2 linked regions of the Arabidopsis thaliana genome follow. The protein of the gene in region 2 interacts with the protein of the main gene of each other region in a pairwise test. Each region holds a gene or a part of one and is shown on either strand. Other genes may lie near its edges.

The links. Proteins that work in one complex are often made in the same cells at the same time.
Region 1: the proteins of MOS1 (region 2) and AT4G28300 interact in a two-hybrid assay, tested with the Arabidopsis thaliana proteins (one large-scale study listed by BioGRID).

What each region holds. Positions count from the first base shown.
Region 1 is NC_003075.7:14,012,612-14,017,724, reverse strand, and holds AT4G28300 (formin-like protein (DUF1421)), read right to left. Parts: upstream 3,080-5,113; 5' UTR 2,866-3,079; coding exon 2,710-2,865; exon of another isoform or gene 2,330-2,709; coding exon 2,042-2,329; intron 1,949-2,041; coding exon 902-1,948; 3' UTR 628-901; downstream 1-627. Other genes in the region: AT4G28310 (microtubule-associated protein), read right to left, coding at 1-267.
Region 2 is NC_003075.7:12,730,850-12,738,930, reverse strand, and holds the start of MOS1 (modifier of snc1), read right to left. Parts: upstream 6,254-8,081; 5' UTR 6,129-6,253; exon of another isoform or gene 6,065-6,128; intron 5,547-6,064; 5' UTR 5,507-5,546; coding exon 5,478-5,506; intron 4,980-5,477; coding exon 4,896-4,979; intron 4,813-4,895; coding exon 4,768-4,812; intron 4,675-4,767; coding exon 4,305-4,674; intron 3,767-4,304; coding exon 3,664-3,766; intron 3,261-3,663; coding exon 3,144-3,260; intron 2,920-3,143; coding exon 1,842-2,919; intron 1,761-1,841; coding exon 1,532-1,760; intron 1,423-1,531; coding exon 1-1,422. UniProt on the Arabidopsis thaliana protein: Involved in the regulation of the chromatin structure and DNA methylation at the SNC1 locus. Regulates the expression of SNC1 at chromatin level.

The sequences.
Region 1 (5,113 bases), 1.3 Mb from region 2:
CACAGGGGTGGATTTCTCAAGCTGTGCACGGAGCTTGTTGACGTTTCCTTCGATCCGGCCTTGGAGACGGAGACGCGTGAAGTTGAGACCACCCATTGACCAGTGAGCGTCTCTCGCCCATGAGAGAAGAGGATCTAGCACAGAGAGGGGAGGATCAACACGGTAATCATTGAACTTAGGATTATCGAAGAAACGAGGACGAGGAAGCCCGTTTCCGTAGAACGACACCGGTCTAATGGCGATACTTTTCTTCACTGGCGTCATCATTATGTTAATTTTAAACGAGATTGAAAAAAGAGGATGATGAATGAGAGATTGAGATTGAGATAGAGGATTAGGGCTGTTTATGTAGAAGGAGATTGTGGCGGTATGTTTATTGGCGCGAGACTCTAACCGCGCTGCTTGAAATAAAATCTTTGGCGCCTCTTCTATTTTCCTTTCCCGCAGTTTTTTTTTTCTATTTGTTTTTTGGTTTTAAGGATTTACGCAAATCTATTTTTGACATTTTTTTTTCCATTTTTCTTATTTTTCCAATTTTTCTAAATACACAAATTTCATGATTTGAAAGGTTTTTTGGTATAGGAACTAATTTCCATTTAATATTAAAAGCTTGTTATTCAGGTTATTAATTTTCACAATCTATATAAAACAAAAGTGAAGTAAAGAAAGCAGCAAATCATTGATAAGAGATTTTGGGTTCAAGAAAAACATTGAAAGTAACACATACACAAATAATAAGGCTTTTTAAAGAAATATAAATTGAGTCTTATAACAATACACAACAGACCCAATCTATTGGGCCCAATAAAACTAGGGCCTCTATAGAGTAACGCAAAGAGGAGGAGGAAGAGGAAGCACAGTTTTATTTTGAAAGATACACAAGTAGAGGGGAGCCATGGCATCACCATCCTCTGGGAGGTCCTCCTGAGGACTGCCCACTCAATCTGTCGAGGAGGGTGTTGAAGTCGATGGGTTGGCCACTCTCTTCCATCCGCTGAATAACAGCCATGACATGGTCTCCTCTGAAACCCATGCTCACTAGCTTCTCTATCAGTTCACCGTATTTTGATCTCAACACAGGTGGTGCACCAATGTTACCGCCACCTGCCTGGTGCGGCTGGGGAGAGTATCCACCACCTTGTGGACCTTGCAAGTAATGGGCTTGCTGCTGCTGCTGCTGCGGCTGAGGTGGTGGGTATTGCATTCGCCCACCTTCATACATGGCATTGGCATACCCGGAAGGAGGAGGAGGTCCTGAGGGTAGATACCCATCGCCAGTCTGGGGGCTGTAAGACATCTTTGTCTGCTGAGGAGGAGCCTGTGGTGGTGGTGCAGCACCGTATCCGTAAGCTTGCATAGACTGTTGAGGAGGTCCAGAGTATGGTGATTGCATCTGCATGCTGCTTGGCAACGATTCTACTGGCGGTTGGTTGCCTGGTGGTGCAGGCGAGTATGTTGGGTAGCCTCCACTTGACTGTGGCCTGGCTTGTGGTTGGGGTGGCCAGTTTTGCTGGTACTGCGGGAATGACTGAGTTTGGGCTGAGCTTGGGTGAGATGGAGCAGGAGGTGGGGGCATGAACTGACTCTGCGCTGGTGGTGCTTGAAGTTGTGATGGTGGAGTAGAAACGGGCACCGGTGCAGGTGTGTTTTGAAGCTGTGTAGGAGGAGGAGGCATGTAATACTGATGTTGTTGTGGCTGTGGCTGCGGCTGCACCTGTGGCTGTGGGGCTATTTGGTGAGGCAAAGCAAGTGCAAGCTGCTGGTTGTGTGCATCAGAGGTGTTCTCGCTCTTCTTAGGCTCTGGAACAGGAGTGGCGACACGGTCCTCACCATGTTGAGAGTGAGACGACGAAGATGACTCTTTCTGCACAAGTTGTAGCTTCGCTAGCTCTTTCTGAGTATCTGCTAGCTCTTGTTTGTCTCTAAGAATCTGGACAGACCTATGCACCTACAACAGAACATCCATGGTCAATTACTGATCAGAGTTTTACAAACTAAAATTAACAAAAAGGATTAAAAACATTGCATAACAATAACAAACCTCTTGAAGATGTTTGTCGAGAGATCTAAGCTTCACATCGGCATCCTCATGTGCATGAGTCAACTCCGATCTCATTTCTCCAATGGTCTTATCAAGGTTGTAGCAGTAGAGTTCAAGCTGAGACAAGCGTGAACTGAGGCCTTCAAGAAAGCGCATCATGTTATCAGCATACATCTTCATGGTCCTTTCGACAGTGTCAGTAATGTCTTGGCTCAAAGAATCCTCTGGTGGACTGTAAGAGCTTGTAGGGAAAACCGAAGACCTTGCCATCCTTGTTTTATGGAATTCCTACAAGCAAAAAAATGAAACAATAAACAAAGACTCGCTCAGTATATCTGATCAAAAGTGGATGAAATTTTCTTCCAATTGAAAATAAGGAGGACAAGCACAGCTTAACAAGCTCTAGTTCCAAGTCAGATTCATAGCTAAGGCGTTTCCACAGAACATAGCTCCTCATAAGTCACAACCAACATAGAAATAACTAGCTAAATTAGCTCAACACTAAGAGGACTAGTTCGATATTGACTCCTCGAAATTGTTTTTACACGTATCTCTGAGCAAACCACAAATCAAAACTCTAGATTCCCAAAAATCAAACAAAAATCGCCGATCGAGCAAAATACCCGAACCTAAAAAAAGGAAGAAAAGGGTAAATCAGTGTGGTTAACCTTGTTGGAGTTGGAAGCAGCGATCGCAGGATCGGAGTGAGGACCATTAGAGGAGTCTTGGTTGGTGTAGTCATCATAAGAGCAAAGGATATCATCGGAGCCAAAATCGAAACCTTTGGATCCTGAGTTGACCCGACCCGAAGATCCAGACGCCATTGAATCCGAAGACTGAAAACCAGATTGAGAAAAAAGAATCGAAAGAAGGAAATCTCGCTTTTTAGATTAAGTCTTGGGAAAAAAGCAAAAGCGTGGTTCTTCGTTTTCTTCGAACCTTTGAGAAAACGCAAGCAAAGAGAGAAGCAAGCAGGAAAAAAACGTTTGTTTTCTCTTTATTATATTTTTGCTTTTTAATTTGTTTATTACAATTGAGGTTTTTTAGTTCAGACTTGTGATAAGGATGAAAGAAGGAGGAAACAGCCAAACTCTTGTTTTTCTATTAAATATTTGTAATTTCGTCCCTAAATATATTGATTACTTGTGAATTTGTCCCGTTTATTTGTTTTCAATTATTTGCAACCTAAAAAATAGAACGACGTCGTTCGTTCACTTCGTTTCATTGGAATTTTTTTTTATTGAGGATTGAGGTAACGAAGGGGGAAACCCAAAGTTTCGATCTTTTTGCTAGGCTAGATATCTTATATTCTTATTATCTATAAAGAAGACTGTTTTGATGTTTTTATGGGTGCCATTTGAGCTCTGTTGGCATTGGCATAAAACTGAGAGATATAGACTCGTTTTGGTGCTCTTTGAATCCATAGTTCCGATGTGTGCCAAATGCATTGTGGAGGAAACCAGGTTCTCAACGCTGATATTGTTTCTTCCCTAAGGTGTTTTCTTAAGATACGAGGGATCTCAAGTTAGTAAATTGTTCTTCTTGAGGAGTGAGTGATATGTGAGTTCTTGAGAAATTGGAAGGGCTTTGATCTTGGTCTTGTGTTATAATCCAACCATCTTACTGCTGCTAGTTTTTGGGATCTGTAGTCACATTGGTCAGCTAAACTTGTATGAAGAACATATTGTAGTTGTCAGCATGTACCAGAAACATGAACCGGTTATATATAAAAATTATTTGGAAGTTACATCAAGAGTACGACTGTACGAGTGTTTTTTTTGGTAACTTGTTGATATATGATGTATGATATCATAGCCTCTGCATGTTTGCTTAGAGATAGTTGGTACACGTTCTTGTAATGAAACCAGTTCACAAGAATGACCGATTGACCGGTTGTGTTGGGTTACTTACATTGAGTTGTTTCATCTTCTCCTGTCCACAATCACTGTGGTTGTTAATTGTTTTACACATGTAAGAGTAAAATAAGTTGTGGGCTTGTTGGTCTTGCGGCATGATCAATAATTCACGTTAAGATACGGATATGGACCGAATAAGTTTTGGCCGGTGAAAAAGTAGAGATATGTGGACATGATTATGAGATTGCGCAAACGATAAAGTCCTTCAAAAGTAATTTTAATTATTAAGAACCCATCCCTAAAGAGATATAGCCGCAAACTTTTTTCTTTCATTTGTATCCATACATCTTTAATCAAAACTTTATTAATCATATCATTATGATCCTATACGTCACCATAAGATGCTTTTGTACGATCATGTGTTAATAACTTATTCTACTACTCTGTTTTTTTCATAAATAGTGACCGGACGTAAAATATATAGAGACGAGTATTAAAACTTAACGAGATTGTGATGTCTTTATCAAAGAATAAATGTGTTCAACATTAAATTTGACGCAGAGAAATCTCACCAGAAAACCATATGGGACTTGTTAGGTTTGGTATCCACAAATCAGTTTACATCAATTTGCATTTGAGATATGCTCTCAAAGACAAATAATCAGATCCACTTGTTCAATGCCATTGTTCACCCGTCATTTAGTGTTTCGACCTTATCTTATGAACATTTCTTTTCTTGAACCTTATCTTATGAGCATACAATACCAACAGTAATAAACGAGAAATAAGAGGGGCATAATCGTCCAATACAAAGCTGACTTTTAACATTCTCAAAACACCAACTCATAGTTGCAACATTGTCCGGACACGTGGGTTACTTACCAACCAACGATGGACCCATTTTCATTTAACAGATCAACCAATCATGTTTCTCTTTGTGTGGTTCTGACTTCAAGGCTCAAAGTACATTTCTTTTTTTCTAATGCTTTGACCATACTAACCCCCTTATTTTTCACGCTACCCATTCTTACTCCAATTAAATTCTTCTAGAAGATAAATCATTCTATTCAAAAACGTTTACCAATGATCTTAGCTGTAATTAACGCAATTAAATCATGCTTAAGGTATTTAGAAAAGGGTAAAACGGTAACATACTTTATCGATACATAAATTGGTCAACTAGCGTAATTTAACTTTTGTCCCCATTGCGTATATA
Region 2 (8,081 bases):
GCCATCGTTCCATCCATCCTTATTACATGTGGTTTGATCCTTGGCAGCAATTTGTTCGGTTTGCTTACTAGAGTGATAGTTCACTGTTCCTCGGATGGGCTGATTTGAGGTTACAAATTGTCCATCCTCCAAAGCTTTAGTAGGTGCTCCAGAACCTCTCTGGTGCCATGATGCATGTTCTCTACCATGCTTTCCCTGCCTACCATTCCCATGTCTTGACTTTGAAGGAGACCCAGATTTCCCTGCAGTTGAACCAGAAGGTTGGAGAATTCCTGTACCCTCACCTCCACGATTTTCTTTCTGGTTTACATTCTCCGACATATCTGGAGCAGAGGTTACTAGATTTTTACTGACGATTTGCTCAGCCATTTCCTTTACTATAGGCTTCGGTACATATCTTTCAATTTCCACTCTTTTGCTTTTAGAACTAGTCTGTCCTTGATGCTGACTTTTTGAAGAGGTGCCAAACTCAGGGACAGTAGTCTGACTCCCTCCACCAGTGGAAACATCAGCTTTTTGCTGTGGATGTACTGGAGCCCAAATAACAGCATTGTTGCCAGAAAATTTCTCTGCAGGCTTATTTACCAGTGAGTTTCTTTGAGTCCTACGCACATGTTGAGATTTCCAGTTGTTTTTAGCTCTGTTTTGAGACTCTTCATTAGTGAAGGAACTGATTTGTTCAGACGAATCACCAGACACTTTGATATCCAGGCTTGGAACTGAAACAGACCCCAACTCAATTTCAGCTGCCCTTGCCCTAGCAGTCTCAATTGACTCATCTCCCGATTTTGTTTCTTTTCCAACGGCAACTCTTGTAGTATTCATAGTTGCTGTCTCCTCAGCCTTGTGTTTTTTCTTACCATTCCTGTTATTTTTTCTTTTCGGGAAAGTTGACTCAGCTGAAACGGTTGACGTCGCTGGCATGTCTGAGTTATTGCTTGAGACACCTTCATTAACAACCTCAGGAGACGGGACAACATCAAACACCTCTGCAGTAGCAACAGAGCTCCCTGTCGGTTTTTTCTCAAATATAATATTTTGCTTCTGCTTATAACCCAAGCGCTTCTGTTTTGAGGCACCGCCATCACGTGGAAGATTATCCTGTTGGGAAGGGCCCACATTATTTGCATATTCTGTTGAAGTCCTCGTGTTTTGCGTTGTGTTTTTTCCTGATCCTCCAGTAGGTTCTACGGAATTTGTAGCATTAGATGAATGAGATCCAGGATCTGTTGGCATGTCAGCCGGAGAAGCATTAGATGCAGCTTCCATGTTCTTAACTGAACCCTCCTCATATATTTGGGAACGTCTATTTAACTCTTCTAGTTTTGCAAGAGCCTTAGCCCGCTGATCTCTCGCTCTTTCTTCCTCCTCTTTCTGCCTCTGTTGAGCACGCTGCCTGGCTAACTCTCTCATCGTAGAACGCTTTTAAGGGAACATGGCAAACACTCAGTCAAACCAAAAAAGGATGACTACAAACAAGAGATACATAAAAGTATAAATAACAACCAGAATCATATGAACTAGTTTATACCTGGTTATCCTTTGGGTCTGCTGATATTCCCGACCCAGGCCTCCTGATGGACTCGGTATCCAAAGAGTCATCGACATTAACCTCGCGAAAGCTTTCTGTGTTTGTAGCTAAAGTTGTATGGGAGGAGCCTGACATAACAGTTGTCTTCTGCCAAGCATCATTGCCTTCACTGTTCACTATTCGTTTGGTCTGCGGATCTGCTCTGCCTTGAGTCTGTTGAGTAGGTCTCCTGTAGGTACTAACATCAAAACTTTCCCGACATAAAGGATGGCATAACTGGCCGAAACACAATTGAAAAATGATAACTGACCTGAATATGCTAGTTCCACCCATAGCTGCGGGTTCAGCATTCTTGTTTGTGGCAGAATCACCTTGATTATAGTGTGATGAGTTCTTACTGTCACTTGCATGACCAGTTCGATGATTTCTGGCTGAAACTTTATTTGCAGAGTTCCCAGAATTGAGTGTACGTGGTTGGCTTTCCTGCTCATCTCTATTAACAACAGATGACGAATTTTGCCAACCATCATTAGTTCTAGTTTTTGCATTTAAGCCCTCGATTTTCTGAATCAAACTAGGATCTCCAGGGGCAGCAAGTTCTGCTTTGACTGGTTGTACTTCACCACTTGCGTCATTTCTGATTTCTCTCCTCTCGTTTCTTGAAGTTTGCATCTGTTGAGCTATCTTCTCTGCATTCGGGAGCCTATTTCCAAGAAATTCTTCCCGCTTTGCATTATCTTCCCCAAACCTCCCATCTTGGTGCTTTAGGAGAACCTTGTATGGCCTTTGTGTTTCTTGAGAATGTGATGACTCGTTCCGTTCCAAAGACACTGAACTTCCAGGCGTATCATATCCACCTTGACCAGAATGATTGTTATAAGCATGCGGACCAGTAGGCCTACCTGCAAAAGGTAGGTCTCTGTTGCTGGGACTGCCATACCCCATGGGAGGACCATAGTAGCCTTCGTGTGGCGCTGGACCAACATAAAACCCAGGCCTAGTCTGCATCCTTGGGTGGACATAAGAGTCAAGCATTGGAGGTCTGAACATTCTTTCATTATTAGCGTGATTACCCCTAGGACCAGCCCCATGTCCAGGAGCAGGTGGAACTTGCGTAGGATAAAATGGAAAAGGATCCATGTGAAAACCCCCAGGACCCATTGGGGCACCATACGGGTGGTTCCCTCCGTACCAGCCACCTCCTTGATGATTATTTACTGGAGGACCACGCCAAGCATCATACCGAGGAGGAAAATTAGCATTAGGATAAGATTGTGAACCACGTGAGTCCAATTGCCCTTCCTCTCTACAATGTCTAGGTGCATCTTCACTGTATGGTTGATTCTCTCTTCTCCAGGAATTGGCATCCCCAATCCGGTCATTAGCTTCTGCAAATAAAAGACAAGATATGGTCAAATATAGTGTCCGCGAGAACATCCACTAAAAAGATGTACGGGGAATAAAGCAGTAAGAAGAATTCACATGAACACCTGTGAGGGTAACATGGCCCTCTCATAAGAGATGATTATAAACATAAGTAACTCTCGAAATGAGATGCCAACATCTGTTGTATATCCCCAAAACATAGAAAAATAGGTTTGAAAGTAAGAACCTTCTGTGCAATCTACACCTTGCCCTTCCACAGATCTTCCAGACGAAGATGGAGGACGAGCGTGAGGTCCAGCATCTGCAAATTTGTAGTTTCTAAGAGCCATGTCTAACGTATCTCCTTCATATAAGCACATCACATTCTATCTAGGTAATCCTAAAATTCTCAGTGGCACATATTAGGAGGTCATCTAAGATCGAAAAAGTGGTCAACCAACAGCAAGCCAAAAAAAAAGGTCATTCCCGAAAGTTTTAACTTTGCTGAATATCCGTGTAGATAAACTTCTCAACAGAATTACATTTAGAAGTACCAACTTTCAAAATGAACCCGTCTGTGCTAACGTCACTCCCTTGAAGGCAAGGACGACGAGTATAAGATTGAATTGTGTACAAGTTGAAACAATTTTTTTTTCCTAGTTTACATGCTGATCGTACTTTTTGAAAAGAGCAAAGAGAACTATTCTTAAATCAAAGTACTGTAATGCATGGATGACACAATAATTTTTACTGTTAATAGATGGTACCTTGTGGCCTTGTACTCTTTTCAGAAGTGTCCTTTTCAGCACCAAGGGAAGGAAAATCTCCAGAAGTCAAAGAAAACCCATCATTCTTTGATGGAGCAACTCCCTGTAGAAAACAATGAGAAGTCTAAGAATGAAGATAAATTTCATGGTAGATAATGCAAAGGTGGGTAAATTGTACACAACTATTCTTCAAAAAAAACCTTGAAGATTGAAGTTTGCCAAATAATAATACAAAAACCCTTCCATCAAATTCTATTTGCCCAACCAGAACTCGAGACTTATTGGAGACCATGTGCCACTCAGTTGTCAGATTATCTTACGCACTACAAAGCATTTCTCTAAGAGAAATAAGTGCCCTATAATTTGACAAATTTAGCATCCTAATCTTGTTCCCATAGCAAACACGAATGATGTATCCAGCTATTAAAGTTCTATCTAGATTGAATATCAATCATTAATCCCAAAAAGTAATTACCATTCACAGTCCCAAAAACATAAGAACTTGCTGTGTGTTTGTTGTAACTAAGCACAAGTGAAGTAAGAGAAGAGTGACATGGAGCTTCACAGATGTAAGGATAAAAAAAGATGCTTAGCAGAGTCCCGATAAATATTAGAGACGACTTTAAAGGGAAGAACCATACCAACTTCTCTGGCGCCACATGTTGACCCCATGTTGCAGAAGTCTCTGACACGGGTTCAGCAAATCGGGATAACTGGGAACTTCCTGGTCTTGTGTCTGCACTATGTGGACGCTGTAGTGCAACTGATGGCTGATTAGATGGAAACACCCCAGATGCTGATGAAGGCCGCGAGTTCGAATCCCATGCAACAGAAGAAGAAGAGTCATGTGCTTTGTTACTATCGGCAGTTGAAGGTCGAGTGACACTTCCACCAGAAGAAGGTCGATTACTGAGGTGGCTTGGTGAACCAGGGCCACTTTCAGTTCGTGGTGACAAGGATGATGTCCCCCAAGCATTCAGTGATGATTTACTGCCCCAACTAAGTGTTCCCCTAAAATAGATGTCCAGAAGAAAATTAAACCATCTAAAATTTGAGGACGAAAAAGAATGAGGGAAATAGCATCTCAAACAGGTACAAACTTACTTTGGAACAATTTCTACATTTGGGTCAAGGCCTTGGTTCTCTAACCTTAAATTCAGAAGAGAAGTGTTCAGGGAACGAGATTATACATATATATGAAGTCTAAATGTGATCATGCGCTCATCAAATACCTTTGGCTTGGTAAGTTAATCGGTTTTGGAACAGCAACCTTTCCCAATATAGTCATGCCACTTCTTCTTGTAGTACCCCATCTGCTAATATCCAGCACATGTAATTTCTCATCATCACCACAGAGGATACAAAGCTCTTTAAGTGTAAATGAGCAAAGTATAAATGATTATACAATTTATTAAAAAAACGATCAGCTCTTTACATATGTTTTCTACACACATTTTACAACTTTCCCTTCTTTTAATCTAAATGGTGATGTTGGCATGTTGCAAATCAATAATAATGTTGAATAAAATTATTACAAATACATGGTGAATGTCTATCATGCAAGCAAGCTCTTTCAAAGAAAGAAAAACCACACCCTGAGTTTCCTTCTATACCCCAGGCACATATAGTGATTCTATATTTTAACAACAGTTGGAATATACAGCACAACGAAAACAAGTAATTCATATGAAGAAAAGGCCAAATCAAAAGAAAAATCATGCAAGTAACGTGCAAAGAGGCCAATATATAACCCATAATCCAGTATAAAAACATAGAAAAGTTCATGACAAAGATAAAGTTGAAAGAAGAGAAACCTTCGATCTCCTGTCGTGCTAGAGGTCATTATAAAAGCAGCTACACGATCCAATTACACCACTTGAAACCTGTAAGTCACATACAGAATCAGATTCACAAATGAAATTTGAAGCTCAAATCCCAAAGAATCAAACAAGACCGACACTGAAGAACTATTGCTATAACACTGCTACCGTGAAATGTGTTGCAGAATCAGACTGCCTATACAAATTCTCCAACATGAATTGAAATACTTTCTAAAATTCACCATCATAACAGAAAGACAATGTTCGACAATCAAATTGGTACAGAAACCTAAAAGTATGAAAGATCGTCAAACTGCGGAATCAAAAGAGGTTCCAGACTAAATGACCGCAATACTAAAAAAACAATTGACGTATTCCCAGAATGTTGACAATTTCGCAATCAACTTGCTAGAACAACAACAGCAACAAAAAAAGAGCTCTGAAACATACAAATGTCTCCAGAAATGTCAATCAAGCTCTACAAAAGGACCCAAATTACTTCAAAATGCGATAATTCTATAAACTCATCACTCGATTCCTCTGGAATACAAAGGGGAAAAAAAGGTAGAGAAGAAACTGACCAAAGGGGATTATAGAGAAAATCTGCTCTCTTTTTTTGAATAGAGAGGGGGGGTCCTCGCAAACCCTAGATATTAATTGTGAGAATCGAACGAAGAGGGTGCAGATCGGATGTGTTCCTGGGCGATGAGGGAAAAGGAAGAAGGGGAAGATGAAGGAGAAAAGGAAGGATCTGTGGGAGAAAGAAGAAAGTGATGATGATTGATGAAGATGAAGCTTATTACGACGACGTTCAACGGATTGGTTGAAAGAGGAGAAAGCGTCGAAGTTCAGGGCTGCACGGTTTTACTCAGCTTTTCCTCTCTCTCTTTTTTTTTTTCCTGTGAATTGTAAAATGAATGCCGATTAAAATAAAATAGAGCGAATAAAGGATCACCTATCTCCAAAAAACAAAAATATATATATAAATTAAAAGAGTAGTATTATTCATTAACATCATTTATATATTTACCTACCCATTTTAAAAGATAGCCATAGTTTGACAAAAAAAAAAAAAAAAAGGATAGCCATAAAAACAATACTTAACAAAATAGTTTCCTTTCTTTTACATTTTACGAATGTTAAAAATGGGGGAGAAATTGAATTATGTGGTAGGTTCACTTCTTCATTTTAAGGACATGTTTAGGGAAGTAAGACGATGGCAGGCATGATCAAATGAATAAGGTTTTTTGGGTAATGCTTATGTTTATCTTCCAAACCTCTCATGTTTCTTTGTGGAGTACACTCATTCTAAGGAAAGATCATATATTAATCCGGTGTTTTGTAATCGAGGGTTGGAAGTGTTCGTACATGCACTGTGTACATGGTGCTAGAGGATGATCTTGAGCGGATTTGAGCTCAACGCTAGCTTATTTTTTTTCAAATTTTAAAATTTTGTGTAAATTTTATATACAGAAGATTTTAGATAATGCATAGTTTGATTTTTATTAATTTATTACGAGTAGTCTTAGCATATTTTAAATTTTCGTGCTTTTCTCCAAATTGATACTTAAGAGTTAGAGAGAAAGCCAACAAACTTAAGAAAGTTAGAGAACGAGACACTTGAATGCTTACAAATGATGATCCCACCCCATTTTATACAACTTCACCTTTGATAGAATCATATTCAATAAACAGTAATGTATGAAAAGAAAACAAAAAAACAAATATACTTGAACAATGACCAAATATAATAAACCTCTTGGATCCAGCCCATATGATCTTTGCTAAACTCTTGAACAATTTGGGCCGTGGCAATATGTAGATTTTGGTCCATGGATCATTTATCTATTTTAATGTTACCCTTGCAGAGATTATTTTCTTCTCTTTGTTACTTTCACAATCAACACCCCAAAATATGTTATTACAACAATTTCACCCTAAATCGTTTTGTCCAAATGTGTAAATTACACTAAACATATATAGGGCAAAATATTACATAGTCAATATAATGAGCCTTAAGCTAATCTAATTAGATGTGAAAACAGAGAAGTGACGTAAATCTAGAAAATATTGTTACACATAAAGCATTCACCAGTCTTGTACTAGTAAACAGAGATCCTGAATAAATTCAGTGTCTCACTCGGTTCATGTACTGTCGTTTCCAAGGTCTGCCATTGACAAACCGAAAAGCTGAAACTCTTCACGCCAAAGCCAAAATACAATAACTTTTTCCCAATGGGAAATATCTTTTATCGTGGAGAGAAACAAACAAAGAGCTTCGACCTAATTACACATTCTTCTTTTTCAGTTTACATATAAAAAGCCTTCTAGCGATCCTTTCACTGTGGCCAATTTGTTCTGTGACCTTTTGATCCTCTGCCTGCAATTCTACAGGTATTTTGATAGGTAGTCTCAGTTTAGAATTTGTCTACTAGGATTAAAAATTCAATTTCTTAAAATCGTGATTGGTAATATTTATGAGTTAAGTACATGAGTTAGGTTCGTAATCCAATATAAACACATTGTTATACATACCTTTATCTCTTGAGATTCTTCAAGGGTTATTTTAATCTCTTACAAAAATCATAACTTCGAATA